Linked DNA regions of Caenorhabditis elegans. The protein of the gene in region 1 purifies or fractionates together with the protein of each later gene. This does not show direct contact. Each region holds a gene or a part of one and is shown in the gene's direction. Other genes may lie near its edges. The genes, in order: cup-15 and C03B1.2.

What was found.
Region 2: the proteins of cup-15 (region 1) and C03B1.2 fractionate together in Caenorhabditis elegans (co-fractionation; one large-scale study listed by BioGRID). This does not show direct contact.

What each region holds. Positions count from the first base shown.
Region 1 is NC_003280.10:9,346,917-9,363,567, forward strand, and holds cup-15 (Coelomocyte uptake defective protein 15), read left to right. Parts: upstream 1-6,083; coding exon 6,084-6,224; intron 6,225-6,271; coding exon 6,272-6,400; intron 6,401-6,466; coding exon 6,467-6,593; intron 6,594-6,636; coding exon 6,637-7,074; intron 7,075-7,122; coding exon 7,123-7,256; 3' UTR 7,257-7,411; downstream 7,412-16,651. Other genes in the region: sdhb-1 (Succinate dehydrogenase [ubiquinone] iron-sulfur subunit, mitochondrial), read right to left, coding at 3,954-4,043, 4,093-4,317, 4,490-4,618, 4,665-4,898, 4,950-5,098, 5,746-5,815; mel-11 (cGMP-dependent protein kinase interacting domain-containing protein), read left to right, coding at 11,618-11,698, 13,009-13,209, 13,774-14,328, 14,733-14,950, 15,128-15,457, 16,052-16,235, 16,303-16,439. UniProt on the Caenorhabditis elegans protein: Modulates the transport of substances from the endosomal to lysosomal compartments. Plays a role in lysosome formation and function in coelomocytes.
Region 2 is NC_003284.9:6,361,873-6,378,765, forward strand, and holds C03B1.2 (uncharacterized protein), read left to right. Parts: upstream 1-8,144; 5' UTR 8,145-8,161; coding exon 8,162-8,318; intron 8,319-8,403; coding exon 8,404-8,515; intron 8,516-9,503; exon of another isoform or gene 9,504-9,592; intron 9,593-10,313; coding exon 10,314-10,501; intron 10,502-10,600; coding exon 10,601-10,656; intron 10,657-11,117; coding exon 11,118-11,285; 3' UTR 11,286-11,511; downstream 11,512-16,893. Other genes in the region: C03B1.4 (uncharacterized protein), read left to right, coding at 2,624-2,855, 3,101-3,197, 3,271-3,455, 3,547-3,602, 3,654-3,845; C03B1.3 (uncharacterized protein), read left to right, coding at 4,143-4,380, 4,850-4,959; C03B1.17 (CHCH domain-containing protein), read left to right, coding at 11,776-11,947, 12,735-12,895; C03B1.1 (uncharacterized protein), read left to right, coding at 12,879-13,127, 13,187-13,720; LAMP family protein lmp-1, read right to left, coding at 14,887-15,144, 15,220-15,429, 15,484-15,701, 15,755-15,782.

The sequences.
Region 1 (16,651 bases):
GAAACTACCGGAAATTGAGCTAAAAATATACAGTGTATTGGTCTATGAGTTTTCAAGCTGTCAGATGGTGCAAAATAGATTTATAGATTTTCCAAATAGTTCAAAACAATTCGGTAAACATTCTAAGCTGAGGGAGCCCAAAAATTATGGATGATGCCTTTCAAAGTTATCAATTCGTACTAGAGCTACTCACTTATTCAAAACATCACTCTATAAAACTGGATGGGCAAATGAAAACTTATAGTTAGGACCTGCCTGCCACCTCTGAATTACGGTATGATACAGCTTTTCTACTGTGAAGAATTAAATTTAAGCGCACTTCAAATTGAACGTACTTTTGAGAAAACGGAAATTTCCGAGATTCCATCTATTCCAAAAAGAAATTAGTTGCCAAAATTGAGCAACTGGGAGTAACGGCATATCATTTTCTATCACAATATCACATTCGACTCGTTTGAGCTCTGGAAAATATGATAATCTAACTTTTTGGATATGACGTCACAATCAGTCCTGTAAGAAATTTCACGTTTTCCAGTGGAAGGATCACTCCGAACACGCGCCTCGTATCTCAATCTGAATGTGGCTTACTGCTGTAGTATGGGATTTCCAAAATAATCCATCTTTGAAAATGTGTGTGTTTTTTTAATTTGTATATATTCTCTGCCTTCTTCATCAAAAACTCACCTCGATTTTCACATATGAGTTCTCAATTATTCATCCAAAAATTCCTAGACACTTATTTCATCCAAACGCATATTTGAAACCGTTTCTCCTCCGGTCGAAATGCTAATTGCCGCCCACCTACATATACCGTGACAACATTTTGTTGTGTAGGTGTCAGTAGTTCACTGACGAGATGAAATTCAATTCAGAAAAAAACGTTCTCTGAGACACACTGACGTCTTCTTATTTGCAGGAAATGATTGCTGACACTTTAAAAAATAAATAGGACAACATTAGAAAATAAACAATCAGGTTGATTTATTTACAATAAATAAAACAGTGTAATCAACTTGTCATTTATCAATGGACAGGAGAGTCTGATGAAAAGGTTTCCGGAGAGATCGGAAGTGAGATGGGGAAATTGGAAAAAGGAAAGAGTTGAAATCTCATTGACTACTCGACTTCATTTTTGTTCATGAGAAATCCGTTAAAATTATAGAGAAAGAAGTGAGACAATATGTTGACGTACAAAAATGGTTATATTCATTTGCAATATCTTCTAAAACTCGCAAAATTGCGTATCTTCAAACTGACGTATCTCGAAAACTATAGTTCTAGAAAACAAATGTTCAACAAACAAAACTATTAGAAATATTTTTTCTTCCCTTTGCATCAATTTTCATTACAAAGTAGCAAGGATTTATTGAGTTACACTGATTCAAAGATAGTTTCCTAAAATCTACCAAAATTTTTGAGAACTGTTCTGTTGTACCAGTCTTAACTCAACATCCATTGAGTTTCAGAATTAAATTTTTGTTGGATAGTAAAAAAAAAATATTTTTCCACATTTTATCAGTTAGACTTTTTTGATATTTTTATGTTCAGCCAAGTTACAGACCGTTTTTCGAAAAAATCCAATTTCGCTCATAAAACTCTTCATATCCAACGTATCGACTTGAAATTTTGAACAATGATCACTTTTTTGAGGTTTCTACAATGTCCTAAAAAATCTTTCAAAAATGTTGGCTCATCTCCAAAATCGTCCTCCGCTCTGAAAAAATGAAATTGAGCTTTTTTGGTCGAAAAAAATATTTTTCGAATGCTGAGAACACGTTAAACACGAATATCATGTTCATTTTGAGATCCGGATGTTCTGAAAACGTCTGACATAGATTTAAAAAAGCATCGATTTATTTTCATTTTCAACGTGAAAGTTTTGTGCAGCTTTTAGATTTCAAAAGAATCTCAAAACTCTAAATTTTGAGATTCTTTTGAAATCTAAAAGCTGCACAAAACTTTCACGTTGAAAATGAAAATAAATCGATGCTTTTTTAAATCTACGTCAGACGTTTTCAGAACATCCGGATCTCAAAATAAACATGATATTCGTGTTTAACGTGTTCTCAGCATTCTAAAAATATTTTTTTCGACCAAAAAAGCTCAATTTCATTTTTTCGTCCATTTTTCGGAAGGCAAAGGTCCACTTTCTTTTTTCAGAGCGGAGGACGATTTTGGAGATGAGCCAACATTTTTGAAAGATTTTTTAGGACATTGTAGAAACCTCAAAAAAGTGATCATTGTTCAAAATTTCAAGTCGATATTTTTTCGAAAAACGGTCTGTAACTTGGCTGAACATAAAAATATCAAAAAAATTCTAACTGATAAAATGTGGAAAAATATCTTGCAATTATTATTCATTAACATTTTACTTCTGAAACTCAATCGATGTTGAGTTATGACTGGTACAACAGAAGAGTTCTCAAAAATTCCTGTGATTTTTGGTAAAATGGCTTTTACTCTGTGTAACTCAACAAATAGTTTGAATATTGAAAACTGTAAAGTAATGCAAAAAATATATAAAATATTTTTAAACATTTTATCAGTTGAGTATTTGTTTCCTAGACGTTTATTTTTCAAGATACACAAGTTTGAAGATACGAAATTTGGCGAGTTTATGAAGTTATGTGATCCCCCAGAGAGTCTTGGCTTGCCTTTTGGTGACAGATTGTTTCCAAAATTGATAATTGAATGTAAGAGTTCGAATAACTTTATGAAATTGCACATGACGTAATATTATAAAACATTATGGACCAAGAAAACAAAATTGTACGATATTTATGAACATGAGGAGTTTGATTGTACGAGAAATTGTGATTAAAACCTTTATTCATAAATACAATACTTTATAGAGAAATAATAATTCCGTTTCCACGTCCTTCCAATGTTTCCATAACAGTAGTATGAAAATTTGATCTACATACATACATATCAAGTTCAATTTTAATTTTCAATTTGGGGTAAAAATACACAAATCCCATAGTACTTTAAAAAATTATGAGTCGAATCGCTCAACTGATAAACCGAATAAATCGAACTATCTCGGGTCTTGGCACGAGCGGAACTTTTCTGCAACCGTACCCGTGTTTTGCGCCAAAACTACAGTACCTTTTTAAATAAATAAATATTTTTTTGAATCAAAATCTATGAAAAATCTACGAAAATAAAGTTTGGAACTACAGTATTCTTTAAAGGGCATTCGTTTTGAAATTTCACAAAATATGTCGTGTCGAGACCGGATACCGTATTTTCGGCGCAAAAATGACAAAATTTGAAGTCTGTACATATAATATACGAAAGTTTTTTTCTAATTTTTAAGAAATTAATAGATCTATGATAGTAGTTTTATGATAGTGAAGAAAACATATTGAAAGCAGAAAATTGAAAAGTTCTTGCAATTGACATGGGAAATTTCAAAAGAAAAAAAGGTTTTTCAAACTGAAAATCAAAAAATTTTGTCAATATTTACAACCTTTGTATTTTGTTCTCAGCATCCGGGTAGTTTCAATGTTTTCTAACTTCCCGTAATTAATTTTCCGTCTTAATTTTCCGTCCTCCTGTTCTCATCTTACTTGTCAAGCCAACCTGTCAGTATCATATTATCGAACTAATTATGTTTTTGTCTCGACCCTGGGAGAGGAAGACACACACAAAGGATCATACTTGTTTCAGATTGGGTCGGTAGAGTAAAGAACACGAAAAGGTTAGGAAGAGTTGAATTGATAGAAATGAATGTTCATTGTGCAATGTTTTTCGGGGACTTTTATATTTTAATCAAACGAAATTTTTACAGTTATCTACCAATTCCGTTTATTGTGCAAAAAGAGGAGGCTCGTGGTATAGACATCGGAAAACGGGGATAGATAATTCGGGTATTTCGAAAAGAAGCGACAATCGATCAACCAGAGCTAAATATTACATCGAATCTAGGCAAAACAATGGAATTTTCTTATTTAAAATGCTGATGGCTCAGCGGCTGGCTTCGATGTGAATCCAGTAAGCAGCGATTTGATCTCTCCGATGGCCTTAGCTGGGTTCAAGTGCTGAAATTAATTCGTTTAAGTCGAGATATAAAACAGAGAACACTCTAACTTTTGGGCATGTCTTTGTGCAATTCATGATGGTGTGGCACTTGAAAGCTGAGAAAGAGTCGTGCATACGGTGAAGGCGTTCGGTGGCGTAGTCATCACGAGAATCGATGACCCATCTGTAGGCTTGCATGAGAACAGCTGGACCGAGGTACTTATCAGCATTCCACCAGTAGGATGGGCATGACGTGGAGCAGCAAGCACAGAGAATACACTCGTAGAGACCATCCTAAATATATAAATTACTTTATAATGTTGTGATAATCATGAATAAATTATTGATTTTAGACTTTTATTTCGTTTGAAAAAATGAATGTTTTTCATTTTAAAACTTTTTTGAGTTAAAAATTATGTTATGCTTTTTCAAATACTTCTGCACCAGAAAATATACTGAAACTTACAAGACGATCACGTTCAGCCACACTTTGGTGCATCTGCTTTTCTCCAAGAGTCAATGGGGTCTTCTTTTGAATCCATGGTTGAATAGAGGCATATTGAGCGTAGAAGAGGTTCATATCTGGGACAAGGTCCTAAAATAAAAGGTTTATTCGTTTTTTTTAGATTCTAAAACAATACCTTCACAACGAACATATGTGGAAGTGGGTAGATTTTGGTGCTCTTTGAGGTATCCGAATCGATTTTGCAGATGCAAGCCAAAGTGTTTTGACCTCCGATGTTCATGGCACAGGATCCACAGATTCCTTCACGACAACTTCTTCTGAAAGTCAAAGTTGGATCGACCTCATTCTTGATCTTGATGAGAGCGTCGAGAATCATAGTTCCGCATTGGTCAAGATCAACATCGAATTTCTACAATAACTATTAAATTTTAAAAAAAGAAAAAAAACTTTGAAAATCAACCTGCACAGTTGGCTTGGCTCCTGGTGCTTCTGGGTTGAAACGATAGATCTCGAACGTCTTGATACGGTTTCCGGTCTTCTTGGTCTTGGCGGCTACATCATCAGTTGATGGAAAAGAGGCTTCAGCCGCCGCTGCAGTAGCTGGCGCTCCTGAAACAGTTCCAATAAAATAGTGTTAAAAATGGTGAATTTAAGGGATAAATATTATTCTTGCAACGTTGAGCTCAAACAAAATTAAAAAAACGTTTTTCAAAACATTATTTTTGTTTATTATAAAGTCTTGCTATAAATTTATAAATTCCCTTTTCTCAAATTTTTTGAATTTTAAATTTTGATTCAAGAAATTCCAAAACTGATATTTTTAAATTAACAGAACTTTGAATGATGGTTAATATTTACGGAACAGTATTTGATTTTTAAAAAAAAATCTGCGTTTTTCATCTAATAACACGACCGAGCTTTACAGCTTTCAGTGCCTACGTGTAAAATGGAAAATTTTAGTTTTTGAAGACATAATATAATTTTCTGACATATCCAATTTCATGTAATGTTAGAAAAATTATTCAAAGATAATTAAACAAAATAAAGCTGAACATAAAAAATTGTCGTCTTATTAAAAAATAGTAACGTTGAAAAAGTGCTGCCTACGTGCAAAACACGAAACCTTGTGAAATCTCGGGTAAAGCCTAATATTTCTCGTTAAAAAATGCTTTCCTAAATAATTTATATTTAATTTTTCTAGTATTCCACACGAAGTACCATATTTGATGGAAAATTACCAAAATTAAAAAACGTACCCGAAGCAGCACGAATGGCGTTGGCGGCGAGCTCCGCCGAGTGCAGAAGACGAGCCGAACGGGCCAACATCTGAGATTTATTCAATAAATCAAAGTTTAATAGAAATTAAAATGTAAATACAAAGAAATTTGTTGAAAAACATGAGACAATAATGGACGTGACTATTTATTTTTTGTAACGAGACTCCGAAATAACGCAGTGCATGTTGTTTATAGTTTGAGTGTGGATTTACGGGCAAACATTTATTTTGTTTTTTATTTATTTGTTTGTTTATTTTAGTTTTAAAACTATATTAAAGCTAGAAAATGCTTTCTTTTTAATAAAAATTATTTTGCAGATGGTAAATTCACTTTCAAGGATACTTTTCTGCAGCTTACTTATATTTTCCGTGATTTCTCTTCGAGAAGAGCGGCTCGAAACAGCGCCGATCACTGATGATCCTTGGGATTTGGATGGACCCTGTCAAAAATATGTGGAAGTAAGATTCTTCGAAGTATTTAATGCAACTAAACATCTTTATTTCAGAAACTAGCTGTTGTACAATCGGAAATGGTAGCATGCGCCACAAACTGGTCAATTCCACCTGTAGTTTGCACAAAATGCTTTCAAAACTACATTAATTTCAAACAATTTGAATATGAAACAAAAAACCTGGTGAGTATAATTTGAAAACAATATTTTTTAAAACCGTCTTCACATAAAATATGAATTTTATTACAGAATAATGTCTACTCCCTGGATAATCGAACTTGCTCTCAAGTTATTTATGACAATTATCTGCTCTCGTACAGTACGGATATATCAAAAGCTTTAACTTCAGAAATTTGGGAAAAATCCAGATGTGACTGTGAGTATATCGGCAAAAAAAATCATAAATTCCCATTTTTCAGCCTGCATAACAATTAAATGGAATTTTCCGCAAAACAAATCGGAAGTGTCATTCAGTGAGAGGACAATGCAATTTCAGAACAGAATGTATGAATGGAGAAATTGTGTTGTTAATTACACATCTGGAGGTGTACTGGATGATAATCTTACCAATGGAAGTAAAATCTGTAATCTCTGCAAGACCACCTTTGACGAACTCTTTGGATATTACTGGAAAATCTACACAACTCCAGATGTAGATTTTTGTGTCGACGTGGAGACTACGATGAACGATACAATTCATTTATGGGATGATGTGTGGAAATGTGCTGAAAAACAAGACAGAAATCGTGATTTATTTGGAATTATGATCACTTTTGGAACATTATTGCTGCTCACAGCTCTATTTTATGCTGCCAGCTACATTCAGGGTGGCGGTGAAACGAGGCGTCTTATTCAATGTAAGATTTTCTGTATTCCTTGAAATATATTATATTATTTTCGTTCAGATGCTCGTCTATCAGATCCACATGGCCAAAGATCACGTCTTCTTTCATCGGGAATGTCGGATGCAGATCTTGTTAGTCGTGTTTCTCCAGGATCTTCTGTGTTATACAATGTACCAATCCATCAGACACGATAACAATTGCTCAAATTGATCCAATTCTTATATTTGTTTGAAATTTAATTTCGAAACCTAGTCCTTGCCGAATACGTGCCTGTGTTCTCTTTCCTGTGATGCTCTCTTGCTAACTTTGTTCTTTTTGTATATTTGTGATAAAATTGCAATTCAAATTCAATTACTTCGAATTCTATTTAAATTATTTTGATGTTAATTATCATCACGAATATCTATTTTTCTCAAACTATTTCCCTTGCCTGAACTCTATTTTTCTATTTTCTAACTCTATTTTTCTTCTTTCCAAAATTCTAACTTTCCGATTTCCTGAAGATGCTCCATCTATACACTTCTCTCCCGCAAATTAGACTTAATCTATCTCAAAATTCAGACACTTTCTCACATGTTTCTTTCGAACTTTTTTATGTTGGTTTTCTTCCACTCGCCACAAAAACGAGAAGTCGCCGAAATGACCGTCCTAACGAGCTTGTTAACCGCATGTTGCTCCTGCTCTCCGTGCTCTAACCCAACAATCCGGGTGAAAAAGTGAAAAACGACGACGAGTTCTTCTCCTCCGTCCGGCCAAGAAGGAGGATACACTGTTTGTTCTAACACACACAGAGGGATGCGCGTATATCGTCCGGAGGAGAAGCGGCGGCGCGCGCGCAGCCTTCTTATCGGTCGGGTTCATTCCATGTAAATAGTTGTTGTTCGATGGATGGACACCAGTCAACCGCTTTCACTTTTTTTCTTCCAAATTAGCAATAATTTTTCAACAAAAAAAACATTGCAATTGAAAATTAATAGTCCTCCTGAGCCATTTATAACATCCGAATACGACATCTAAGTAATTTCCTGATAATTTATTCTTGGGAATATTCCGAGACATCCATATCCGGTACCAGGTGTACCAGACAGGTGTTCAAGCTGCTGCAGTCATTCATTCACACGTCGGTGCTCCCAACACTCCCCTCAATACCTTCCTCTCTCCTTTTTTTAGTTCTCGTCAATTTGGCTTCCATGTTTGTCAAATCGGCAACTGCAGCAGCACCTCCTTTTGGTGCCACTCGAATGCAGGAAATGTGTGTGCATTTTTTGTCGATATTTCTCTTATTGAGCCTAGCCGACGAATGTCACCTTGTCCGCTTTTCTAATACATTCGAGATTTCAAAAGCTAAACAATGACAACAAATTGAGCACTACGTTGGTCCCCTGCCATTCCCAAGCTGCTACTTCCTTTTGCTTATGCTTTTGAACATCTTTCTCTTTTCTTACTCTTCTCATCCAATTCTCTTCGTCAACCAATTCACACGCTTCTTGTCAATGTGTACATGTTCGTTTCCCTCCTCCTTCAAAACCAGCTGTTTTCCGTCCAAATCTCATCACTCTACTCCCAATTGATCCTTCGTACTTTTTATGTGGACCAGCTGATCTGATGATACTGCTGATAAAGTACATGTCTAGAGGGCTATTTTAAAAATAAAGTAGATATATTTTCTGAACATTTTGTTTTACTAGAATTGACTTGTAAGTTCTTCTATTGTTCAAAATTAGCGAAACATTTCTTTGACTCCATATCTTGTCTTCAGTCTTTGTTACCGCGATCAAATTCCTTTTCTTTGTATATACTTGTCCTATGATAGTGAACATCTCAGCGCCGCACCGCGAATACCTCGGAATAATCAATCCAAATTAAGGACATTCTTGATAATATTGTGGCGGAAGAGGCATAGGCGATCGTCAATTCATAATAGTCTAGATTTTCGGGGGAGAACTGTCCAACGAGGCGGTAATTTTTGAAAAAGGGAGTGTCCAATTTATACACCTGCTCGCGAATGATTAAAAAGAGCCAGCTGTTTTAACAGAATAATATACAGTAATAAGGATTTATTGAAATCTTTACCTTTTGGATTTCCGCCTGTCACTTCTTATAGACTGTAAAATTAACTTCCGTTGTTCATCCCTTTTCCGGTATAGATTCACACCTAGATACGAGACTTTCGGAGTCTCACAAGAAAGATCAATATCTTTGGCAATGGTTGAGTACACGAAAAGAACGCTTTGATCAGACAGTTATACACAAAGTTAGGTGATCTGATCAGTGTGCACTTGTACTCACAACTTCTCGAGACTCTATTATAGATGAACGTAGATGTTTGCTCATTCAATTTATGTGTGTTTTTTCACTTCAAAGAGTGCACACATAATTTATGTATTACACACACGTTCTTTGTATTCTATCTAGCTGCCCTGGGAAGTGTATCTCTAGTTTATGACATTCTGATGCTCGCCTGTGGCTTTGAGTACTCACGGTGACTGGGCCGTAAAGTTGATACGATTTCAAAACAAAACATTTTAGGTTTTTCTAACTTATTACATGCTTTTTCAATGATTGTTCTTTTGTACCTCATTTTTGAAGTGTTCTTGCGTGGGCAGTAAATACCATCTTGACCTGGTTCTTAAAAAACCGCAAATCGTTGACAAGTGCTAATAGTTGTCTCTTTCTCTCTATTTACAACCATTTTTTGTGTGATGCTGCTACCGAGATTTTTCAAGAGTTCCAAGAGCTTATTAGTAAGCGCTAACCATCACCACGACCACCAAGCAGCACAACAGGTTAAGGATGATGATGAATAAGAGAACGGTGAGAGGAGGATCGGGAGAAGGATGATGGGAAGAGAGGGCAACCAGCCAACTGCCGCTGTGTGTATAATGATGCGGGAAAAGAGAACAGAGCGAGAGAGTCGAAATATATTGAGCGGTGTTTAATAGACGCAGACACGCCGCGTGCAGGCGGAAAGTTTCAAGTACGTCCCTCCCGGTCTCTTTCTCTTGGATGATGGTGTATCTGCGTCTCGAATCACTAATTCTCTCTTTCTGTCTATATCGTTGAAAATAGAGAGAGAGAGAACGACCTATCCATCGACTTGTCGCCCCTAATCCCGGGGGCACTGTTCCATTTTTTCTCTGGAATTAGTTCAATGTGTCCGTTACTCGAAAATTGTTTTTTAATTTCTCATTTTCTGAACATTGAACCTAGATTTTTTAAACAATGAATTTTTAATTTAAATGCCATAGCCAATGTTTTATATTAACATTGATTGCAAAAAAAAAAGAAATGTTTCTTTCCAAAAATATAACATTTCTTTTGAAATATAAACATTGATTGGCAATTTTCAAAAATTTTAAGCGTTTTTTACAGAAATGCCTTGCCTTTTTCAATTATTTTTCCAAATTTGTTTAGTTAGTCTTCAATGACTCACCGCAAACTTTTTTTAGAAACTTTGGAAACTCTAAATATTTCATTTTATAAAATTTTTGAACATAGATATTTTACACCAATATTTTTAGAAAACAAATTGCACCGGAAATAGTGCCCAATTTCATAATATTTGTTCTCCGGTGTATCCACAATCCAAAACCACCTTTATCACATCACTTTATCTAATTCTCTAAGCCTTTTCTGATCTTCACTGCCTCACTATTTTCACCCACTTGCCGCACTTTTCAATGGATGAGTGGGAGTTGTATTGATTAGTATTATATTTATATATCCTTAAGGATATATTTTTAATGGCGGAGTCCATGGATAGTTTGCTTAAAATTATTGAAAATTGGTCCTAATGAACGAATATATATATTTAAAAATGGTTTTAAATTATTTATAAATTTGAAGTTTGAAATTTTTTTTTTCAGTTTTGCCAAAAAATTCAAATTGCACATTTTTGTTGCAAAATTAAAAAAAATTTAGAACCATTTATAAGTGTTTTATAATTATATACGGTATTCGATTTTTCGATTTTTGGTTTTTTATTTAACAAGAACGTTGCATTTTTTAGATTTTTTTTTTTAGAAAAACCCGTAAATTTTTTGATTTTTTGGTATTTCGGAAAACCGAAAAACCGGCAGATTTCGAAAATTCGGGTATTCACATTCCAAGATTTATACGCAAAAGCTATGAAACTTTAGTCAAAAGATTAATCGAATAGTTGTGGTCTCATATTTCAAAAGAAGGATGAACCGGGAAATGAGTGAACGTTAAAGTAGTGGTGGTGGGATATGAAGAGTAATTGACTTGGAGGTGGTCGAATACGCGGAATAAGTCTCCGGTTTCAGTCACACGCTAAACTGGTCATTTCTTGTGGGTGTCTGTGTGTGAATACGAGTCATTTTTCCCAAGCTTCATCGTTTGATCTATTTTTTCTCGTTTCCAAAACCATAATATTTTTACAAAATACTTTATATATTTTTTGGAATTTCTACCCATTATTGTATCAATGAAACGAACGTCATTTGTATCACTTTTCTCATCGTTCTTTGCTTTTCTGATTGAACCTATCTCAAACAACAACATTTTTTACTAAAAAAATTTCATATTTTGCAGAATGGGTCAAGATGACGAGGACGATGCGCATATGCTGCAAGCAAAGCAGCAAATCACTTTTAATGTTGTGAATAAGAGAAAGGTGAGCTTTTTTCAAAAGTTTGAAAACAAAATTCAACAAAAAAATAAATCTGTAATTTTTGCGAAAAAAAATTTGGTAAAAACCTCGTTTATCACAAATTAAAATAGTAAAATAAAACTAAAATTTTCTTCGTTTAAATTGAAGAAATTGTCTAAATTTATATTTAAATTTCAACATTATAAATTAAAAATCAGTTTGAAATTTCATTTTTGTTAAAAGTGATCTTCGAACTTTAAATATCAAATTTTTGGCCGACTTTCTTCGGTTTTTGCGCCAAAAGTACGGTACCCGGTCTCGACACGAAAGATTTCTGTTAAATGCGAAAAGTTATGCACCTTTAAAGGTTACTGTAACTTTCAAAAAGGAATTTTCATTTTTTTTTCCATAGTTTTCATAGTTGTCTTTTTTTGTTCAGTAAATTAATATATTTTCAAAAACGAAAAACGTTAAAAAAATCATGGAATTTCACAACAATAGTAGGTTGAAATTACAGTACTCTTTAAAGGCGCAAGCCTTTTTGCATTAAACATAAATGAATCGTTTCGAGACCGGGGACCCGTTTTTTGACGTGAAAATCTTTAAAAAATTTCATCTGCTTAATTTTCCAGTTTGAAGCTTGTTCAGTTTTTTTGTAGTTTTTTTTTTCGAATTAAAAATTTGAGAAATTTAAAATTATTCTAGAGAAAGTTTCTGAAAACACCTTGCTCTCTATGATTTTTTGTCTGAACCGTCGTTCTTCCTTCATTTTCCATGTTTCCTCCTCCACCCCCGTTCTCCATTTTTCCTGCCATTTTCCATACAAACACATTGACAATAAAAGTGAGTCAGCGGGCACAGGGACACGACGACGGCGACGACGACGACGTCTCTTTCGTCTCTTCTCCGGAAAAAAAACCACCAAAAGAGAACGTTTTTTGATCTTTTTTTGATAGTTTCCACAGGCTTCCGGTTGAACTTTTTTCTTATCAGTGTCAAGTTTTGACTCATTCTAATCGGACGATTATTCGTTTTATTTTTTTCCATTTGCTTTGAAACTTTTTCTCTTGATCATTCAAAAATTAATTTCTAAAAAAAATTACAAACCAGTAGGTATTTAGTGAACAAAAAAAAAACGACAATCACGACCGAAATCCAGTCGTTTATACTTGTTAATCAATTGTGCAAACAGGTGCAAACACAATTTGTGAGCTCTCTCGGCGTGTGCCAACTTTTACTCTTTTTTACGCCGAGGGTTCGAAGTTTAAACATTCAATAAATTTAATATTTTTTAAACAAAAAAAACCATTTATTTGTAATTTTTAAATTTTCAGGATCAATTGCGCCGTTGGCAGAGCAGCGAGATGAACGCAGAAGCAGCTCGGCGAACGAAACGTCCAAAAGTACAATTTCAAGACAGTGATATTTTTCTGTCGGCATGTATGTCTGGAGATGAAGAAGAAGTTGAAGAACTGTTGAACAAGGGTGCCAATATTAATACTTGTACAGTTGACGGGTTGACCGCATTGCATCAGGTGAGATTTGCATTTATTATTGACAATTTGGTACTTGTATCGTCCATATGTGAAGTTTCGTGAATTTTGTTTAAAAAAATACGATACCCGGTCTCGAGGTGAACCTAAAGGAGTACTGTAGTTTTTCTACAGTTTCTTCAAAATTGCACATGTTTTTCAATAAAAGTTAAACAAACGTTTGAAAACGTATGAAACATCGAGGAAAATCCTGCAACAACAGAGAGCAGGGCTGGAGCAACGAAATTACAAAAAAAAATGAAATTGATAAAAACAAAACGAATTTAATTTGGAATTTATTTTAGAAAACAACCTTAACTTTTTCTGGAAATAAAAGTTCAAAAATAAATTTTAAAAAAATTCTTTTTGAATCCTTAAAAAACACATTTTTCGTAAAAAAAAAGTTCTTTAAAAACAGCTACAGTACTCCTTTAAGGCGCACAATATTTTAAATTTGGTGCTTCGAGACCGTACTTTTGAAACAAATCGCAACGTTTTGCATATGGATAGAACATTGAAAAATTGAAATATTGCATAAACAAAACATTCGAAATTGAATATTTTCAGTCGGTAATTGATTCAAAACCCGAAATGGTTCGATTTCTTTGTGAAAAAGGAGCCGATGTGAATGCACAAGATAATGAAGGATGGACACCTCTTCACGCAGCTGCATGTTGTGGAAATGTGGCAATAGTCAGATATTTGTGTCAACATGGAGCCGATCTCTCAATAGTTAATAGTGATAAAGAGTTAGCACTTGATCTTGCAGTAGATGAACAATGTCGTGATTATCTTGACGATGATTACAAGCGACAAATGATTGATCTCGATGCTTGTAGAGATCAAGAACTTCAGACAATGTTGAAAGATGTGAATATGTGGATGAGTCAGGGAGAATATCGAGATATTCCTCACCACAGAACAGGTGGAACTGCAATGCATGTAGCTGCTGGGCGAGGATACACACAATTACTCGAATTACTTATCAAAGCGGGTGGAAATGTACGGGCACAGGATGTCGAAGGATGGACTCCGTTGCATGCGGCTGCACATTGGGCTGAACGAGATGCATGTAAAATATTATTGGAAAATGGAGCGGAATTATCGGATCTAACGTTTACGGTAGGGGTTTACAGTTTTTCTGTTGCGGTTTTCAAGACCTGGCGCCTGCTTGAAACCTACCAGCCACTCGCCTATTTTCTGTATTCTGGCGTGAATTTTCAAATTTCTTATCTTCGAATTTCAATTCGATGAAAATCAAATTTAAAAAATAAATGAGGAAGGCAGAGGTCGCCTTAATTAAGCCAGGCAGGCGTTTCGACGCCGACATGGAAGTCCTATCAAAGAAAAACGACAACAAAACTGAATTTAAAAACATTTGTCATACCAAAATATGTTTTTTCAAAGATAAAAAATATTATTTACTGAAAAAATGTACAAACTTTATTTTTATCAAAAGTATATAAATTCACACCAATTGCTTTAAATTTTTTTAAATTTTTATTTAAAAAAAAAACAATTTTCAGGGTGCTGACGTTCTTGGAGTAGCTGATAAAGAATGCATCGATTATCTTGTCGAGTTGGCTGACACTGTGAAAGTACAGAACAAGCGAAAATCACCGGGTAGTGGCTCCCAGCCACCAACTTCAATACTTCAGGAGAAGAATCATAGAATGCCGTCACACGAGGAACATGTTCTGACAAGTGAACGGAAACGAGATTTACAGCATAAGGATCAGCATAGGTGGGGGTTTAGAAATTAATAATTTGAAAATTTAATATTGGAAAGTTTTATTGGGAAAAATCTGAATCAGAATTTCCTCAAAAAAATATTTTAAAAACATTGCATGTTCACCCTCAATTATTCCACTATATCCTATCGCTTCTCTATTTTTTTGTCTATTTTTTTATATTTCTCCAGTGAAAACGAGTTTCTTCACTCGCATCCATCCACTGCATCAGTTGGCTCGACCACATCATCCAACACAAATACCACCACAACCACCATTGTTATCGGTGAAAATGATATTTCTGCTGCACAAAAAGATTCAAGAGAATCATCGAAAGAATCAGCTGTTGATGATGAAGAATATGTCGCAGAAGATGAAATGGAAGAAGCTGAAGAAGATGAAGAAGAAGAAGATGTTGAAGAAGAAGAGGAAGAAAAAAGTGAAGCTGAATTAAAAAATGGAAAAGAAATTTCACCGCTTCGATCGGAAACTACAAGTTCGAGGAGTATATCTATAACGAGGTGAGTGAGCAGGCTTTTGAGCTGGAAATTTATGTTTTCTCCTGCAATTTCCACCACCCTATGAGTTTGAAACTTCTCCCCTCTCATTCAGGGACACGTCTGCAAGCTTTTTATTTTCGAGAATTGCTCGTTTTAATTTCAAAAAAAAAACTGAATTTTGTTCTTAAACAGGTCACAATCAAACCTTTAAAAATCATTAAAATTCAAATTCAACTGAAAAGTGAATTTAAAAAATCTACTGATGTTGTTTCCTCGAAAATTCCATTTTGAGCAAGTACGTTATTACCTAGACGCGAAATTTTGTCATTTTGCGGTATTTTTTATATGAAAAACCGATAGAAATTCCTCAAAAAGGAGAGTTTGAAATTACAGTAGTCTTAAAAGGTGCACACCCATTTTCAATTTATAATAAAAATTGTCGTGACGAGACCGGGTACCGTATTTTTGGGCCAAAAATCGGAAAATTTCGCATATTTTTCTAAAATTCTTTAAGCAAATTTACTTTAAATATTATTTTTTAATAAAAAACATTTATTTTAAAATGTATCCTTTTCCTCTATAGAAAATGAAATATATTTCAAAATCATCATTCAGAAGTCTGGATGGATACACAGACCGCTCAAGTTCCGGCAGAGAAACTTCAGCCGAAATGAGCGAAGCAGCCTCGTCAGCCAGTACCGGAACGACGTCATCGTCGTCACGGTTCACATCATCAACTCCATCGTCACAAAGATCAGCAGCAGGTTCAGTGCATACAGAAACACCACGATCTTCGATGGTAAGTTCATTATTACTGACTTTTTTAAAAATTAAAATCAGTTCTTATCTCCTGCTAGCGTTTTAAGGAAAACTCATCATCAGTGGGAAGCGGTGATCAAAATGTCAGTGCAACGATACCGATTGTTCCATTATCAGCTCCACCGAAAGCAGTTCATCAGAGCCCGAGCTCATGGATTAATAGAGGAGTTCCTCTGTCTTCAAGGTATCCATATTTGATATGAATTCTAAGAAATTTAGTGATAGGACGTGTGAACTATTATGGGGTTATTCAAGTAGTGTCGGAAAATTAAAAAGTGTAGAAAAATTACGTCACAACTGTATTAAAATACATAAAAACATGTATTTTTATACATTTGTGACGTCACAAATGTATTTAAATACATTTTTCTACATAACTTGAATAAAACCCCATTA
Region 2 (16,893 bases), on another chromosome or scaffold:
CAGCATTTCTATTCATTTCTTCGACTTTTTCTGAGATTGTTAGGCATTATTTATAAATATCATTGCAAACTCTAGTTGGAAACTGAAAAAAAAATCTTGTTGGAAACTACTCATAAACTACTGCTACAGGGAGCATAAAGATTACCCGAGTATTCCGAAAAGTTAGATGAATACGGTTCTGAGTAATTGAGAAGATTGTCCACGATAACAAAATTGGGTCAGCCAATCTAAAGGCTTACTAGGGAATGGCCAGCTTAGGGGTGAGGTACCTAGAGACGCCACATATGCCAAACGGAAGCTGAGATCATTGGCTACAAGAATATGCTTTCAAATTCTGCAACGGACCTCTGGGAGTCTGGAAATTCTTGTCTGAAATTATGCTTTTGAATGCTCGAAAGTGGTAAGAATTTAGAATTTATTACAGAAAAACGTGAAGTTGAATACCTAGAAAAGATGAAAATGTGTTTTGATACAGTGCATACAGTACTTGTTTCAAGTATAAAACTAATTTTATTAATTAAACGTTTTTCTGTAATAAATTCTAAATTCTTACCACTTTCGAGCATTCAAAAGCATAATTTCAGACAAGAATTTCCAGACTCCCAGAGGTCCGTTGCAGAATTTGAAAGCATATTCTTGTAGCCAATGATCTCAGCTTCCGTTTGGCATATGTGGCGTCTCTAGGTACCTCACCCCTAAGCTGGCCATTCCCTAGTTAGGAAAACACCATTCCTAAGCCTAACGAGAAAAATGGGTATCACGTTTAATATATACGGATAAATTTATGGAAGTGTAAATAATTTTAAAATGGCGCGGGTTTAATACACAATTTCTTTTGGAAACTTTTCAAAATTTGATCACATCTTATAGAAAGTTATGATTTTTTTTTATTTTTCGAAAAAAAAAATTGAAATTATTTGTAAGGGGTTCGAAAAAAATTTGTTCGAAAAAAAAAGTTATCAAAAATTATCAAATATATTTACAGAACGGATCTAAAACAACAACTAATTATTTTCACCAGAACTTGAATGAAAGGCTAATTATTAAGGTTTTTTTGGCACTATCAGCATTTTCATTTATAACAATCCTTTCTGAGATTGTCAGGTATCATTTATAAATAGCATTGAAAACTCTTCTTGGAAACTGAAAATTAATCTAGTTGGAAACTACTTATCAACGACCGCTACAGGGAGTAAAAAGATTTTATGTTTTCAAAAATAGTAATTGGATACAGAGTATTTCAACTCAGAGAGTCAACTCTGAGAACTTCCGCCCAATTATTTACTGAAGTTAAGATAGATGATTTGAATGCTATTCAACAAAAAGTCTCGTTATAATTTTGTTTCTTTTTTCCATTCCGTTTTTTATGATTCACATTTGATGGGATGATTGAATTTAAGAATTTATGATAACAGACGGTGTTTCTCGAGTTGACTGCAGTTCCCCGGTGTTCAGAGATTTTAGTTAAGTCAAGTTAGTGTTCTAGATGTTCTCATCAAATAGTAGTGTAGTTTAAAATCTAGTGATCAGTTGTAAAGTTATTTTCTATTGATTTGGCACAACGATGACGAGTTTTTAGAATGTTTATTATATTTAATAGAGATGTGATATAAATTTTGGTGTGCTAAGCCAGGTTAAACTGAAGCTTTAAACTTTAAACTTATACCTATTTTCTCCAACGCAATCGAAAACCAACTTGTACTGTTATGTAATCCTTCAGTCTCCGCCAACGAAATTCATGCGGACCCAATTGGCACATTGCCAACCCCGTTTGTTTCTTTTCTCTCTCAGCCTCTCGTGTGCTTTCTCCCAACGGCAGATAACCGAGGACTGTGTCGCGCCTCGTGATCGCGCCCATCATGGCCCCCCTTCAATGATACTCGCAATCTACATGCTCAGTGTGATGAGGGCGTTTGTCTCTCCCTTCCTTTCAGCAAGCACACATTTGTTACACACTTTTCTCAATTTAAGGTTAATGGTTGAATATTTAAAACGTGGTTTCTTCTTCTAATTTTTCATGTTTATGGTAAATTTAGTTTACATCAAGCCGAATATCAGAAATAATCAATGCGACTACTAAAACTCATTAACAAATGCTACATACCTGCAGCTCAAAATCTATGGATATGCTGCTTAGCGTATTTCTATCTCACGCTTTGTTACTTCCATTTTTCAAACCTCCAAAAAATTCCGTTCCAAATTCAAACATTCTCTCAAGGTCGTTCTTATGCTTCGCAAAAATATTTTTGATTCGTAAAATCAGATGGCGCTGGTCACCCTGTCTTTCACTTTCAAGATATTAGTATAGGCAACCTTCCGGATTTTAAATATAAAACAGAACCTGGCTAGGGTATATTTGTAATTTTTATGTCGTGTCAGTAAAGACAGACATCAATAAACCTCTAAATCTCTTTACAAATTGTGCTCACAGTCGGTACAGACATAAGGTCGTATTACGTATATGCGCCACAACCATTGCCCCTTTACAACCATAGCCTCTTCACATCTATGCTTCATTTTCACTCATCAAAGCAGCTTTCATCATTTTTTCCAAATTTTCTCTCAGTTCTATCATCGTTTTGATTGAGGTTCATTGTTACAAGTTAGCATTTTATTTCAAATCATGAGTCTCCCGGACAGTGAGACCCTGATGAAAACAGTGCTCGAAAAGTATCCAGACGCTACTGATTTAAAAGAAGACATTGATGTGCATATGGAAGAGTTCAAAGCTTTTGAGTATCGCTTCAAATTGACCAACGTTGTTCTCCGGGCTCTTACTCTTCCCATCCCGAAACTTGAAGATGAATCAGAAGTGGTGTTCGAAGGAAGAAGTATCACGTACCACTGGACTTTCTGTGAGTTTTGAAACGGGGAAAATCTTTGTTATTTGCCTTGAATAGTTTAGATTTTTTGAATATGGTCCGTTTTGTAATTGAAAAAACGTTTGCTCAAAAACACTCCAAAATAAAAGTTAAACAAAACTATACGTTCGACAATCAGCAAAACATTGGGAAACTGATTTCCGGTTGCCAAAAAGATGCCGTAATATCTACAACCAAGAATGCATTGTTTTCTTCAAAATTAGAATTTTTTGTTCCAGGGACCGGAGACGACGAGAAAAAAATTGTGTCCTGGGTGAATTATAGCCCGAAGCCAATCGCTATTCAAACGTTGAAAAATAAAAGTTCCCATCGAAAGTAAGTGTTAAAGAACAGTTACCGCCTAATATAAGAATAATTTATAAGAATAATTTTGTCAAGTTTGTTTCAGGAAAGACATTACCTACAGCCAGTATATTGATATCAAAGGCACCGTTGAGCCAGGATTTGTCGTACCAAAAAACTACTTTGTGCCACATCCTGACCCAGACCTCCAACCAGAGGATGCCGTTGTTCACTACCAGATTTTGACCAGCATGAAAGATTCCATCGAGGATATGCCTCATTTGATGTCGGGTAAATACAAAAAATGACAAATAATAATTGACAAAATTTTGGAAACAAAAAAAAATTGGCAAAATTTTGAAAACAAAAAAAATTGTTCCAGAAACAAAGCTCGATTGCGAAATGTACATAAAGGACCGCTTTGAGGAGTTGCTCCAGGTTTGAGAATAAGCATGTGTTAATAGTTTAAATGTATTCTATATATTGTAGGAGTACCAAGAGAGCAAGAACACATACTACTTGGCCCGTGCCGACTTTTACCGCAAGCTGAAATTCGAGCACTTGGATCTGGATCATCAGCTTCTTATCTCCGCAGCCAATCGAGATTGGATTGACGGATATTTCTTGGAGAAGGAGCTTCGCGCTTCATATTCCCTCAAAATTGATAGTCTTGCGTGTTGATTTTATTTGTATCCTGAAATATCACGTTGTTGTATATTACCATCTGAATTCAATTTGCCTTGCACTTTTTTCTATACTACTTCTAACATTCATATCCGTACATGATATCAGTTTGAATGCATTTTACGAGTTGTTTTTTTTAATTGGTGCTAATCGACTGTAATAAATCATGTTTAACACATTTAACAAAGCCTGTTCCATTTTTTATTATTTTGTAACTATGTTTTGACATATCTCAGAATTATTTTACATGGAATTCTTAACATTTATTATGATAATGATTACCAGTTTCCAGAAATGCCACCTATCATTCCTCTAAACCTGACGCTGTCTCATATATTGGGACGAATTCAGCGAAAGTATCCAAACGCGACCATCGATGCTCAGAGAATCAGTGCTCATATGGGTGAATTCAGAGTTCTGGAATGTTATTTCAATATGACACGCGTCGCCATTAGAGCAATAACTTACCCGCAAGATGAGAATGGAAAAGAATCATGTGCTTCTGGGGAAGTACATTATCACTGGGCATGCTGTAGGTTTTTGAGACAGAACAGTTGACACTGCCAATATATTAAAAGAATATGTGTTTGTAAGCTGTCGTCCAGAACTACACCGTTATCTCTCCACTACCGGCAATTCTAAAAAGCAATATCAAAACAAGTTGTCAGGTAGCTCCTCGAACAACTAAATCAATAAGTACATAGACGATTTTAATTACTATTTTACTGTTTGAAATTGTGTTTTGTTTAGATGAGAAAATATTAACATTATATTGACGGTATTTATGAATAAAACACATTTTAGAACATTCACAATTGCCTTATTGTTTATAGAAAGTATTACGAAAATAGACGTAGAAGATTGTTACTTATAAATCTTTTATTTTCCTAATCAGTGCTTCACTCAGTGTTTTTTCCTGAAAAATGATTAGGAATACAAAACTAATAGGCAACAGTTTTCAGTTTATAATGTTACGTTGAGCGTAATTCAACATTTTTCAGTCTGCGGTGTATCACCTAATCTTCAAGTTTACATCATACATTACAAACCGAGTGGAAACAATGTTCAACAAAAGAAGAAAAACAACGAGAACCTTGCCGTCAGAAAATGAGCGGCTAACCAATACTGTTTCAAAATTTTCAATTGTAGATCTCCTAACTATCATCTCTACTGTCCGTATTAACTTTGATTTTTGTTAAGTGTTTCCCATTTTAATTTTATTTTTAAGCAAATAACATTATGCAACTTTCCGGTATAGATTTTAGCGATCAAAATTTTCTTGGAACGTGTTCTGATAATTATTTTTACTAATCAAAATAAATGCTCCGTCAGTTTCTGGCTTTGTGTTTAAGATTTTGAACATCGGGTATGCAATTACAACAGAGTTCTCCAGAAAAATGCTTCCTTGAATAGATTGTCACAGATATATGCTTTGAAATGAAAATATAAACGAACACGTTTCGAATATTTGAACTCTAGGCAGGTGAGAAAACAAGAGCAAACATCTTCACAATTTAATTTTTAATACAAACTCAGATATGTTGCCCCGTTAGAAATTTTGGAAATTTTGGAAATTTTGGTACTTGTGTAATATGCCCCCGCCATTTTAAGAATTAATTTTTTAACTTATAAAATAAAAAAGTGTACATTTTTTTTGAATTTTTAGGCTTAGGAAAACATCATTTTTAAGCTTAGCGGGTATCACGTTTAATTGAAACGGATAAATTGATGGAAATTTGATTTATTTCTAAAATGGCGGGGCATAATACACAAGCACCGAACTTTTTACTGTAGTAGGTTTAATAACAAAAGGGTAAAAAATAATTAAGTTTCAAATATGACCGGTTTGCATTCTTATTATAAACATAATGGGACCCACATGACCATTCCAGAATGAGAAATCTGAAAAACTTATCAAAAATGCTTTTGGCAGGAAAAATTTCAAAATACTACAGGGTCAAATATCTGAAATTTTGTAAACTTGTTTCTGTAACAACGGCTGGTAATCAATTTTTATTAATTTAAAACTACTTTTTGTTTTTTGTTATTTGTTGTTCATTAGCGGTTTCAAGATAGTTTGTGCACTTTTGAAATCAAAGAGCATTAAAAATTTGGGGATTATCGTTAAAATAGCGAAATATGGTTCATTGCTCTTTTAGGCTGAGAAAAGTAACGAATTTGGAAATGAAATCTTTTGAATGAAAATGTATAAAAATTTATTTCAGCGAAATTTGACAGTATAAAACTGACAAATTTTGAGGTGTTAGCGGAAAACGGAACTTTTTGTGAAAACTTTGAATTGCCATAACTTTTTTTTGAGGATTACGTTTCATCATAAATATCTGTCGTCCTAATTTGTGATGCCTTTCTTTAAACTTCCTGATATATTTCTGATTTACTATAAATTTATTTCTGTATTTCCAACGTAAGTTGTCAAATGCCAGAATTGTTGATTTGACACCCTCATTCAGATTTTAGTTTCAGCATGCAATTTCCAGCTTGACCACATTGCAGGTGCTCTCACGACTAACGATTACGCTTGTGTAGAGAAAAGTGTGGATCGAATCAATCTTTTTGTTCCCAATAAAAAAGTAATAAAATTATTTTGAGCATTTTTGGGTCTATTTGTTTCATTTTCTACTTTGCAACAGTTCCATTGTTTGGCTACATTCTATTTAATTTAAAAAGATGAGTTTTCAAGTTTCCGTTTTGAAGTTGTGAATATTTGAGTGAACCAGGAAAAGTCGGAGGTGAAAATGAAGAGTAAAGTAGGAAACACACTCTTTATTTTCAGCTGTGCTCCTCTCATTTTTTACACTACACTCTACATACATTTTTAGCGTTTTGCTGTGCATTTCATTAAGTTTCTTTCAAATAGATTAAAGATCATTCAGATGTGTAGTGTTTTAATCGAATATAGACGACTTAATATTGATCATAGTACACCACTTTAGACGCATCTGAATTTCTGCCAATGTTGCTTTATTTAGGGAAATGTTCAAAGATCACGCCGCCAATTTTTGAAACTTGTTTCTTTTTTACTCTGAATTCATAAATGTTTATGACAGATTCAAGAGTTCAAGAGGCTTGTTGTGTGGTTTCTAGAATGTTCTATTTTAAGTTGTAAAAAAACGAATTTTTGAAACGTCTGAACTGGATTCCTGATTTCCTTATGTAATTCTGAAAATGCTTCAAAATACATTTTATGTATTTTTTTAAAATTTTGAGTGCAAAAGCTTATGGTTTAATTGGTGTTCAATTAATCCTATATAAAACATTATAAAAGCTACGTTAAAGGTGCCCAAACGTTACAGCAAAATTTTGAAACAAATTTTTTAATTCTTTAAAACTACAGTCAAAATGAGTTAAAATAGTTGGTTTTCGAATATTCTATGGGTTTAAAAATGCAACAATGCTCTAAATTTCTTAAGAATTGCCAAACTTCACAATTTACCAAAACTTCGACTGAAAATTTTGAAAAATCTTAATATTTTCGAGGGCGTTTTTCTAATATTCGGTCACATTTTTAACCACTCATTTTATATTGAATGAAATGTCTTGCAAATTTTTCAGACCAATTTTTTCTAGTTCAATGTACTCTTCTGTGGATAAATTAATTATAGGGACCAATCTGAAAATTTTATCTTCCAATGACATACATTTGTTTAATTCAGAAATCAGCCCAAGTAAACTCTGTACTGGAATTTTTTGTCTTGAAAGATTTTTGATTTGCTTTTCTTTGCACCTTTTTTTTCAATGTAGAAGAATTGTTGTTTTTAATGGACAAAAACAGAGTTCCGTCATCATTTTTACTGTTTTGGAATTTGTCGTGATAGTTTTAAGTCTTCCTTCAATTAAAAATGAGCAAATCTAAGCTTAAACATATTTTCACAAATTTTTACATTTTTCATTGCATTTCGATTTTTTACATATAATTTCAATTAGAAAGCTCATCCAAGAACATCAATTTCCATGTTCTCTCGTTTGCGACGTATCGCCCACTCAAAGAACATAACGAGAAAGAGAAGCCGTGGCTCCACCCTATACACCGTGATTTGCTCTCCGCATGGCTTACCCATTTCAAACCTTTAGAGGCGTCGTCGTTCTTTTTGCCGCCCTAATAAACATTTCCTCTTTTGGCAAAAAAGAGCAGCTAGTGAACACAGAGTACACAGTTTCTCTCTTTTTTTATATATATTTTTTACTTCGTCATCAACTATTATTATGTGTCCTGTGCTCACCTTTTTTGTCTGCAGCTGTCCACTTTTTTGCTTTTTTTCTTATTTTAAAAATAAATTATTTCAGAACCAAATATGGAGCAATTATTTCAAAAATACGAGAAAAAATTGAAGCTCCAGAATGTACAAGCACGCATCTGGGAAGAAAAACATACATATATAAAATCCGGAAAAGCTGTTTTCAAAGTTCCAAACCCGCCAAAACAAGAGAGAACTTTCCGTTGGGTAATCGGTAAGACTTTTCTTTCTTTTTTAGAGTTCTTTTTAGACGCTTTATGAAAAACTGCTATTTCCGGTAGTAATCTACTTTTTTCCAGAAGCTCCGGCGAGCAGCTGCCAGACATCACGTGGATATTCTGTCAAATTCACACCCAGTCGAGTGAAAAGAGCAAAAATCCCGGAACGAATGTACAATATGAAACGATGTTTGTGAGTTTAACTTTTATTCATCTATGGAAGACGGAAGTCAATATTCCAAAAATATTCCACAGTGATATATAATTAATTACAACATTCACGCAGCATTTTCCATGCTAGAGATCGTGAATTTTGTTCAACTAATGTTTATGTATCACAAGTGCCTGGTGCTGAAGCATAGTACATCAACATTAGATGAAACGTATCTAATAATAGTGTACTTTCAAGCACAAAGCACATACTTACTCTCCAGACCTCTGCAACTTTCCGTCTCAATGGATTGCAACTTTTTTTACTGGCGCGAGGGTTCTCATTGGTTTCTTTTATTCATTTTTTAGTGCAATGTTTGGTTTGAAGAACTTTAAATTGGTCACATTAAAGGAGGGTACGGTCAGTGGAGAAATTATAAAAATTTTATCCATGATGCGAAAATGACCAAATATCATAATAAACATTTTAAACAAATTTTGGATTTTTAAAATTTCAAGTCAAATAGTGGTGAAAACTGTGTTTGCGCTACTTTTCGTTTAAAGTATTCTCTCAGCCCCATGAAATGTTGGAATATGAATATTTCAAACATAATTCGAACATACAACTGGAAGGCAACTTTTTTTTTATTGATCGTTGACTTCCAACAAAAAATTGAAAACTGAGCTATCACTGTTTTAACAACAAAAAACATTCAATTTTTTTTTTGAAAAAATTTATGATGGAATTTGATTATGTTAGCACCACAAGAATAGTCTAGAACATAACTTTTTTTCAGAGTAGAATATTTTTCACAGGTAAATCACCGCCTTGAATTATGCTTTTCTACACATCACTTTTATTTTTAAAAAATACATCATCGCTCGTTTGCCTCGCATTAGCTAACATAAGTCTAGCAGGAAAAAAAAGAAGAAACGTTGACAAATTTTTTTGCCTGGGTCTCTCGCTATGCTGTTACTCGGTTCACTCGTAGCGGTCGTCCATATCACTGCTGTCGACAAGAGAGAATAACATGACTGCTTGGCGCAATGGTAGCGCGTTCGACTCCAGATCGAAAGGTTGGGCGTTCGATCCGCTCAGTGGTCAAATTTTTTGTTTTTTAAGTAGTAATATAATACAATTTAATTCAAAATTACACGCAAAAATTTAATAAAGTAGTCCAAAATGCTAATCGTGTGAAAAAATGCCTTCTGGTAATGTATTTCTCACACGAAAATTTGTTGAAATTGGTTTTTGACACAAGCGAATGTTGCAATTATTTTCTTGATTTTTCTACAAATTTGAAAATCAAATTTCACGACTGCAAGTATAACATTAAAAAACAATATACCCAAGCCCACAAAAAAACGTATTCTGAAAAATTGGTACAATTGAGAAATAAAATTTGAGAATCCCTTATCTTTAGAAGTTGATCTCTTGATATTGATACAACTCATGCTAGACAGTGTCTACTCTGCTCAAAAAGTCAATTAGTAATTTGATCCGCTAGCAATCTAACGCATAGGATGCACCCGCAAACTGAACACCTATATCCAGACAATTGTTGCGCAATAATGTCTAAGTCTCCTGTATTTGTGTGTATTTTACGAAACATGTAACGGATAGGAATTTTGCTGACCTCACACGTATGGATGATGTGCAACAACTTGCGATTAAGGATAGGATATGTGTCAATTAGAGCAAATGGATTATACTAATGAAAACAATTGAAGAGTTTTTTACCTTTACGGAAATCTTTATAATTAGTTCAACTTGAACAACGGGAATTTAATTTTTTTTTTAACATGGGATAAATGAAATAATTAAGATGAACAAATTTCAGCCAACTCCGCCGAGACAGTCGTATTGCATTGTCAGATGCAATTTTCCAGCCGGAAAAGAAGACAAACACGATGGATCATTTATTTACCGCTTCTACAGCTCCGGAATACTCGGAGAAGGAATTGCGACAGATAGAAGATTTTCAGTCATTTTTTGACAATTGGGATGATGATTACTATACGGAGCAAGGTACTTTTAGAATTTCTGAAATATTTTTACAAAAATTACTATTTTTAATTCTAGAAAAATATCCAGTTATATATGACCTCATAACAATTCAAATTTCAGATTGTCTAGACCTGATGCAACAAGCTGTAAATGGAAGAATCGAAGTTTATCAAGAGGTTAGAAAAACCATTTTAATAGAAACCTAACTTTTAACAAAGCTCAATAACTTTAAATCTTCTTAGAAAAATTTTTGTTGAGTAAAAATAAAAAATAAACACTAAAAAAACAAATATATGCAGAATAATCAAAAGAGTTTTGGGTCAAGATCGGAACATTAATTTTTTCCCCGTTTTCACTTATTCTTGTCAAAATGTATTAAACTGAAAAACCACGAAGTTTCGAGAATTCCAAAGCACTCAGACGAATCTCTTCGCTGTGAAATACATAAAATGGTTACTTGAAAACAATTAAATTCTAATATTTTTAATATGTAAAAAAAATTTGATTCTTATTTTCCAAATTTAGCAAACCTCTTCTGAAATCTAGTAAAATGGTATCCGATTTTTCATAGATTTGGAGTTTAACTTGAACATATTCAGTTTGTTGAATTGAATCGGTACCGCAGAAAACATTTCAGGTATACAAGCAAACTTCCAACCCAATATATCTAGCAAAAGCAGTTTTTATCAAATTTCTCGACTTTGATCGACTCTCTCCACTTCATAAAACGTACTTGATGCTCAGCGAGGAATGTGAATTTCCAATGTGCTATGTAGAAGGAATTCTCCGTCGTCATTATGAATAATTGTTTTCTGGCTTTTCATATTATTTTTAGCCATTATTATTTTTTGTTGCTTAGATGACATTTTGTTTATTGTATTTGAAAACCAGTATTTTTTGCTCTTTTCATTTTGATTTCATTTTTATTCCGTTCACATTAATAGTGTAATTGGGGATTTGTTCATGGTATTTCATATTTTTAGTGTCCTGGAAATCGTATACTTCATATTTATAAAGATGTATTTTAATGATTTCTGCATTCGTATCCACTTTAAAGTATATAGCCAGGTTCCGCTCACAGTAAAAGAATCAAGTATAACGCAATAAACAGAGTTCAACAGTGTTGAGCCACGCCCACGTGACCTCTCTAAGGTAACAGATATACTATAGACAAACTCCGCCTATTATGTCTAGAGCAGCTTTGTACCGTATCATTTGCAACAGTTGCTCTCGCTCCATTGTGACTTTTCTGAGCTCAAAATTCTAACCATTGTTATTTCAATTCGTATTCTAGAATGCTTCCGGCCGCGAATGCTAGCAACAGCCTTCCTCGTAAAAGTATGAGAACCGTGAAGTCATCCAGACGTCGCAGCCTTGCTCCAAATGAATGCTTTAATACTGAAAAGGAGAAAGGAAACGATCTTTTCTCGTCTCTTCATCGAAAAATTGTCAAAACTGTCAGGAGATGTAAGTAATTATTGGTAGTAGTAAAATATGTAATAGTTGAAATAAAACCAGTAAGTATGCTTCCATGTAGATTTTTTTTAAATTCATGTGAGAGTTGCATTGAGTAGTAAGTATCACGCATCCAAGAATATATGAAACTTATGTTTTTGTGGAGTGGGATTCTTTTTCATTGCCGTTACTAACATTATTGTAGACTTAAGTATAAGTTCTTGAAGCTAATGCGCTCAAAACACGACTTTTTAAAGGAGTAGTAATGGTTCGGACAATTTTGAACGTAGAGACGCAAAATAGGCTCAAATAAACTGAATTCTGAGGCATCCCAAAAATTCTTCAAAAATATATTATGCCGGTTTAAAATAACTGAAAAATTAAGATAATTTTTTCTAAAATTTCATATTTTACCAACTATTCCGTTTCGCAAGTTTTTGAAATTAAGTTTTATTTGATTATCTTTTTTTGTATCAATTTCAGTGATTTTCGGTTACTTATCAGTGTATTCAAATCAACTATTATACGTGAGATGAACAACCAAAATATATTTTGAACAAATGAATAATAATTTTCAATTTTTTGTTCGTTTCAGCACATTTTGCATCTATATATATACGTTTGAAATACCCCATTCCATTACTCCTACTTTGAGCCCAAATGATAATTGTTCCCAATGTAGTAGAAGTGGTGCCGTAAAGAGTCCGTATTGAACGAACATTGGCCGAAAAAAGACAGGCGCTACCAGTCCAATCTGAAAAAAAGTAACTCACAATAATTCAACTCAAATAACTTGCAGCTATCGCTCCTGAACAACTTCGTTTGAGAACTGATGAAGAGAGAAGAGACCACGAAGCCTGCGATTTGGAAAACCAGAAAAAATTAGACATTTGCAAGGACCAGTACGAAGCTGAGCTTGTAATGTGCAAAACCCAACACCAAAATGAACTGGACGCGTGAAATTGAGCAATACAAACAAGTCGTTGCATCATATAAATTGAAGATGAAGCGGATGGAAATGAAGATCAGCGACATATCAGAAGAAAAACGTCAATCATCGATGCTATTCGATCCTGCCGGAACTCATTCGGATGACAAAGAAGTTTGTGAATACTGGAGAATGATTAATTATGTGGACCAAAACTTCAATTTGATTGGAGGAATGATAAAAATGCATCAGTACTGTTTGTCTGTGAGTATTCCAGATTTCAGTTATTAAGCGAGAGCTCATAAATTATTAATTTTTTGCAGGTGTACAATAAAAGTGGATCTGGATACTTCCGTGATGGAGCAAACTTCTTCCGAAATGCGGATCCATTGAATCTTTCCAACGATAGCAAGATTCCCATCCAAATGGTTTGCATGAATCTGTGGACCTGCGAAAAAATCGAAATCTGGTATCGAGATTTTTACTCGCATCGTTACTTGGAGCAAGTCGATGGCAAGGAAAAATACGATGAAGATCAATATACAGTTTTTGACCAGTTGTTTGACAATCTTGGCAGTGACGCGAGCACATTGATGGAGCAACAAATCGAGCTCATGAGAAATTACTGTCAAGCGAAGGCTGAGCTTACAAACATGGTGGAGTTCCAGAGAGGCGTTCGGTTTTGGAGAATGGTGTCACCAATTCATCTGCCACGTAACTATCAGCTGGCGTTGATTCTTGCCAAGCGTAATGGATGGGTGCATGAAGATGTGGAGCGTTGGTTCAGAGTCTTGTACGACGAGTCATGCTGTGTTGGAGCCCGAGGTCGTGATGTCTATCTAAATTTCGGTCGTTGAAAAAACTCAATTACACACTTGTGGTTTAAAAACTCATTTATATTGTCCCCCAATTTCACTCAAAATTACTTCTCTATAAATTAATCTAATTATATATTATCACTTATCCTACCTTTTTCATGTGTGTTTTGTCTCTATACAGTTATTCTGGTTTTGATTTGTTCAATTTTAACATGTATTTTTACTTACCTGCCACGGTCATTCTGTTTCGTCATTAATATTAATTTTTAAATTTCAGCAGTGGTCATTTTTCATTTTAATAAAAATTTTTTTTAAAAAAACATGAAAAATGAATCATTTCAATGTTCACTGTTAATACCGTTTTGGCAACATTCCGGCACGTCTGTGCTTAGAAAAAAACATGTTATGATTAAATTGATTAAAGATTATTGATTAAAGAACTACAGTTTTTCAGTTAATTTCCATGTTTTAAAATAGGTATCCCAGAGAGGGTTTTAAGATTTCGAAAATATGTGCTTCAATCATGGGGCGCAGCATTTGCTAATTGGCAATTGCAATTTCGGCAAGTTTAGCATTTGACGAGATTGGACTACATTTTCGAGTTTAGAAAATCACCGTTTTAATGCAAAAGCTGTGAAAAACAAGTCACGGTAAATTTTGTAATGTTTATATTTTATTTCGTCACGGTAAGTAACTCATTAATTAGAATTCACTTTATTCTGTTATACTTTTAGCTAGCTCCGATCTTTGCCTTCAAATAATCCATCCGTTCCCATGCTGGAACTCCTTGAAACTTCAGAAATCCCTAAAGACCCTTTTAAAAATCTTATTATTCATGTATCCTCATATTTGCATAACAATGCACATATTGATTTTAGAAGTAAAGACTGAAATTTCGCAATTTTGGTTGGAGAGGGACTTTATTTGAAACAAGGGATGAAGGATATTAAACGTAAAGTCATCGTACGGGCTTAGAAACAGTGTTCTACTACCACGTGAGGTACTACTCGTTTGAAAAATGGAAGAGAATATCAGAAAAATGAAATAGAACTGAGATAAGTAAAAGAGGAAATGTTGGATGATTGCACAACATTGCAACAGAGGAAATGGAAACAAAGAATCATCAGATTCTGAGCATGAACAAGGCTATTGATAATATTTTGATTGAATGATGATAAGAACAGTTTCACAACAATAGCAAAGATTTAGACGCTGGCATATCCTTGTCTCTTTGCACGAGCACGTCCGATAAGGTATCCGACGAGCACAACCACGACGAGAGCCGCGAGGCAGGCTCCGACGACGATTGGGACAACTTCGTTGGTGCGAGCATCCAAATAGCACACCTCGTAGACTTGGTCAGTTGGGAAAACGGTGCCGTTCATCTGTGCAAATGCAATCACGTTGGATGTCTTGATGTCAATGGTAGATCCTCCGACGAGTCCAAGCTTGGCGGTGGAGCACTGAAAATTTTTGAGTTAGGCAAGAAATAGTGAGTGGTAACAAGACCCCAAATGCTATAGCAGAAATGGTATTACCTTGTAAGCGTTGGTCTGAGTTGCTGTAACATCTCCGGCAGCATTGGCGTCTCTGACAAACTTTCCAAAGTATGGGACAAGATCCGTTCTCTGAGTGGTGAGGGTGTAGTCAATGATCTCAAAGGCGACGTTGCTAGATGATCCGAACACGATATCGAGCTCCCACTCTTTGGCGTAACGGGCAGATTGTCCTTCAGGGTTGAACTTAATCTGGAAATTTTTTCAAGTTATAAATTGCCCTAAAGTTGTTATTCAAAAACTCACATTCAACGTCTGAACCGATTGATTGTTGCGGACTCCGTTGCAATCTCCTTCGACACTGACTGTCTCGTTGAATGTGACCGTGAACTTCTCGGTGGTGTTCTTCTCGTTGAAGACCAAATTGAACTGGAAGTCTCCGTCGAGGATGATGCACGTGAGTCCGGTGTTGTTGTTGGTTACATAGTAATGCGAAGCGGTGGCGGATGCGGAGGCCAGGAAGGCTGAAAATTGATTGATTGCTATTGTATTTCTGCGTAGGAAGTATTTCACTTACCAAACAAGATGACAAACGATTTCAACATAGTTCAATTGTGTAGAATGAGTCCGACGATCTGAAAATGAAAACTTTGTTGTGCTACGAGAGCAGAGCGGACAAGCAATAGATTTGTGTTTGTGTAGGCACAAGCAAACAGTAAATTGCTACGCGAGTTGAATGTGATTAAAAAGGTGGGAACAATGAGGAATATGGAGTGTTTATGCTTCTACAATTCAATGGTCATAGATTGATCATAACAAAAATCAGAGTCATAACAAAACAAAACATAAACTGCTGAGAATAAATGCAGAGAATGTTTATGGGGTGGATGAGTCACCTCATCTCTTGCAAAACAATCGATCTTGTGCGGTTTCTAATTGGAGACATGGTATGATGATGGGAAAGACCCAAAATTGACGAGCAAATGAGCGCTCAAGACATCTTTCGGCAGCGTTAATCAAGACTTTGACTATGATAAAGAAACAAGAGAGCAACATTATCACGATTGGGTCACCTGATAACACTGTCGACGACATTGATCGGTTTTTGGGTATTTCGATTGGTTTTCTGCCAGAAAAAAAAAGAAAAATCGGATGATAATGAGAAGAATAAAGTGCACATTCGCAATGATGCTGTAAAATGTTCTAAATGGATAAACTGGCGAAAAAATAGTATGAACAATTCCTCTAAGTTGTTTTCGCAATGATTGGGATGCGACAGCAAGACATGTGACCTAGCGAAAACCAAACAACTCGCGATAGAAACCGTGAGAGCAAACTGAGGAATTCGTCTAAAACTACCAAATCCTGCATCGCGATGCACTATCTCACACGTAGTGGTGTCACAGAGCAGAGAAGACGACGTTGCAGCAGAACTGGGGAAAAGAAAGAAGAGTGAGAGGAAATGAATGTCAATACACAACTGAAGGCAAGACGAGAGTAGAGTGTGTGGTCGAGCGCGCGCGCGTACACAGCCGTCCCTCGAAGTGTCGTAGCGTTGTGCGCACTATTGGTACATGTACACCGCACGACATATTGCGGACCAAACCGAACAACAATTTTTGGAGCAGGAATGCATTTTCCAGAGCAGGTGCATAGATTTCGGAACCTAGCTATTGCGAATAAATAGATAATAATTAGATTTTGAGTTAATATTCA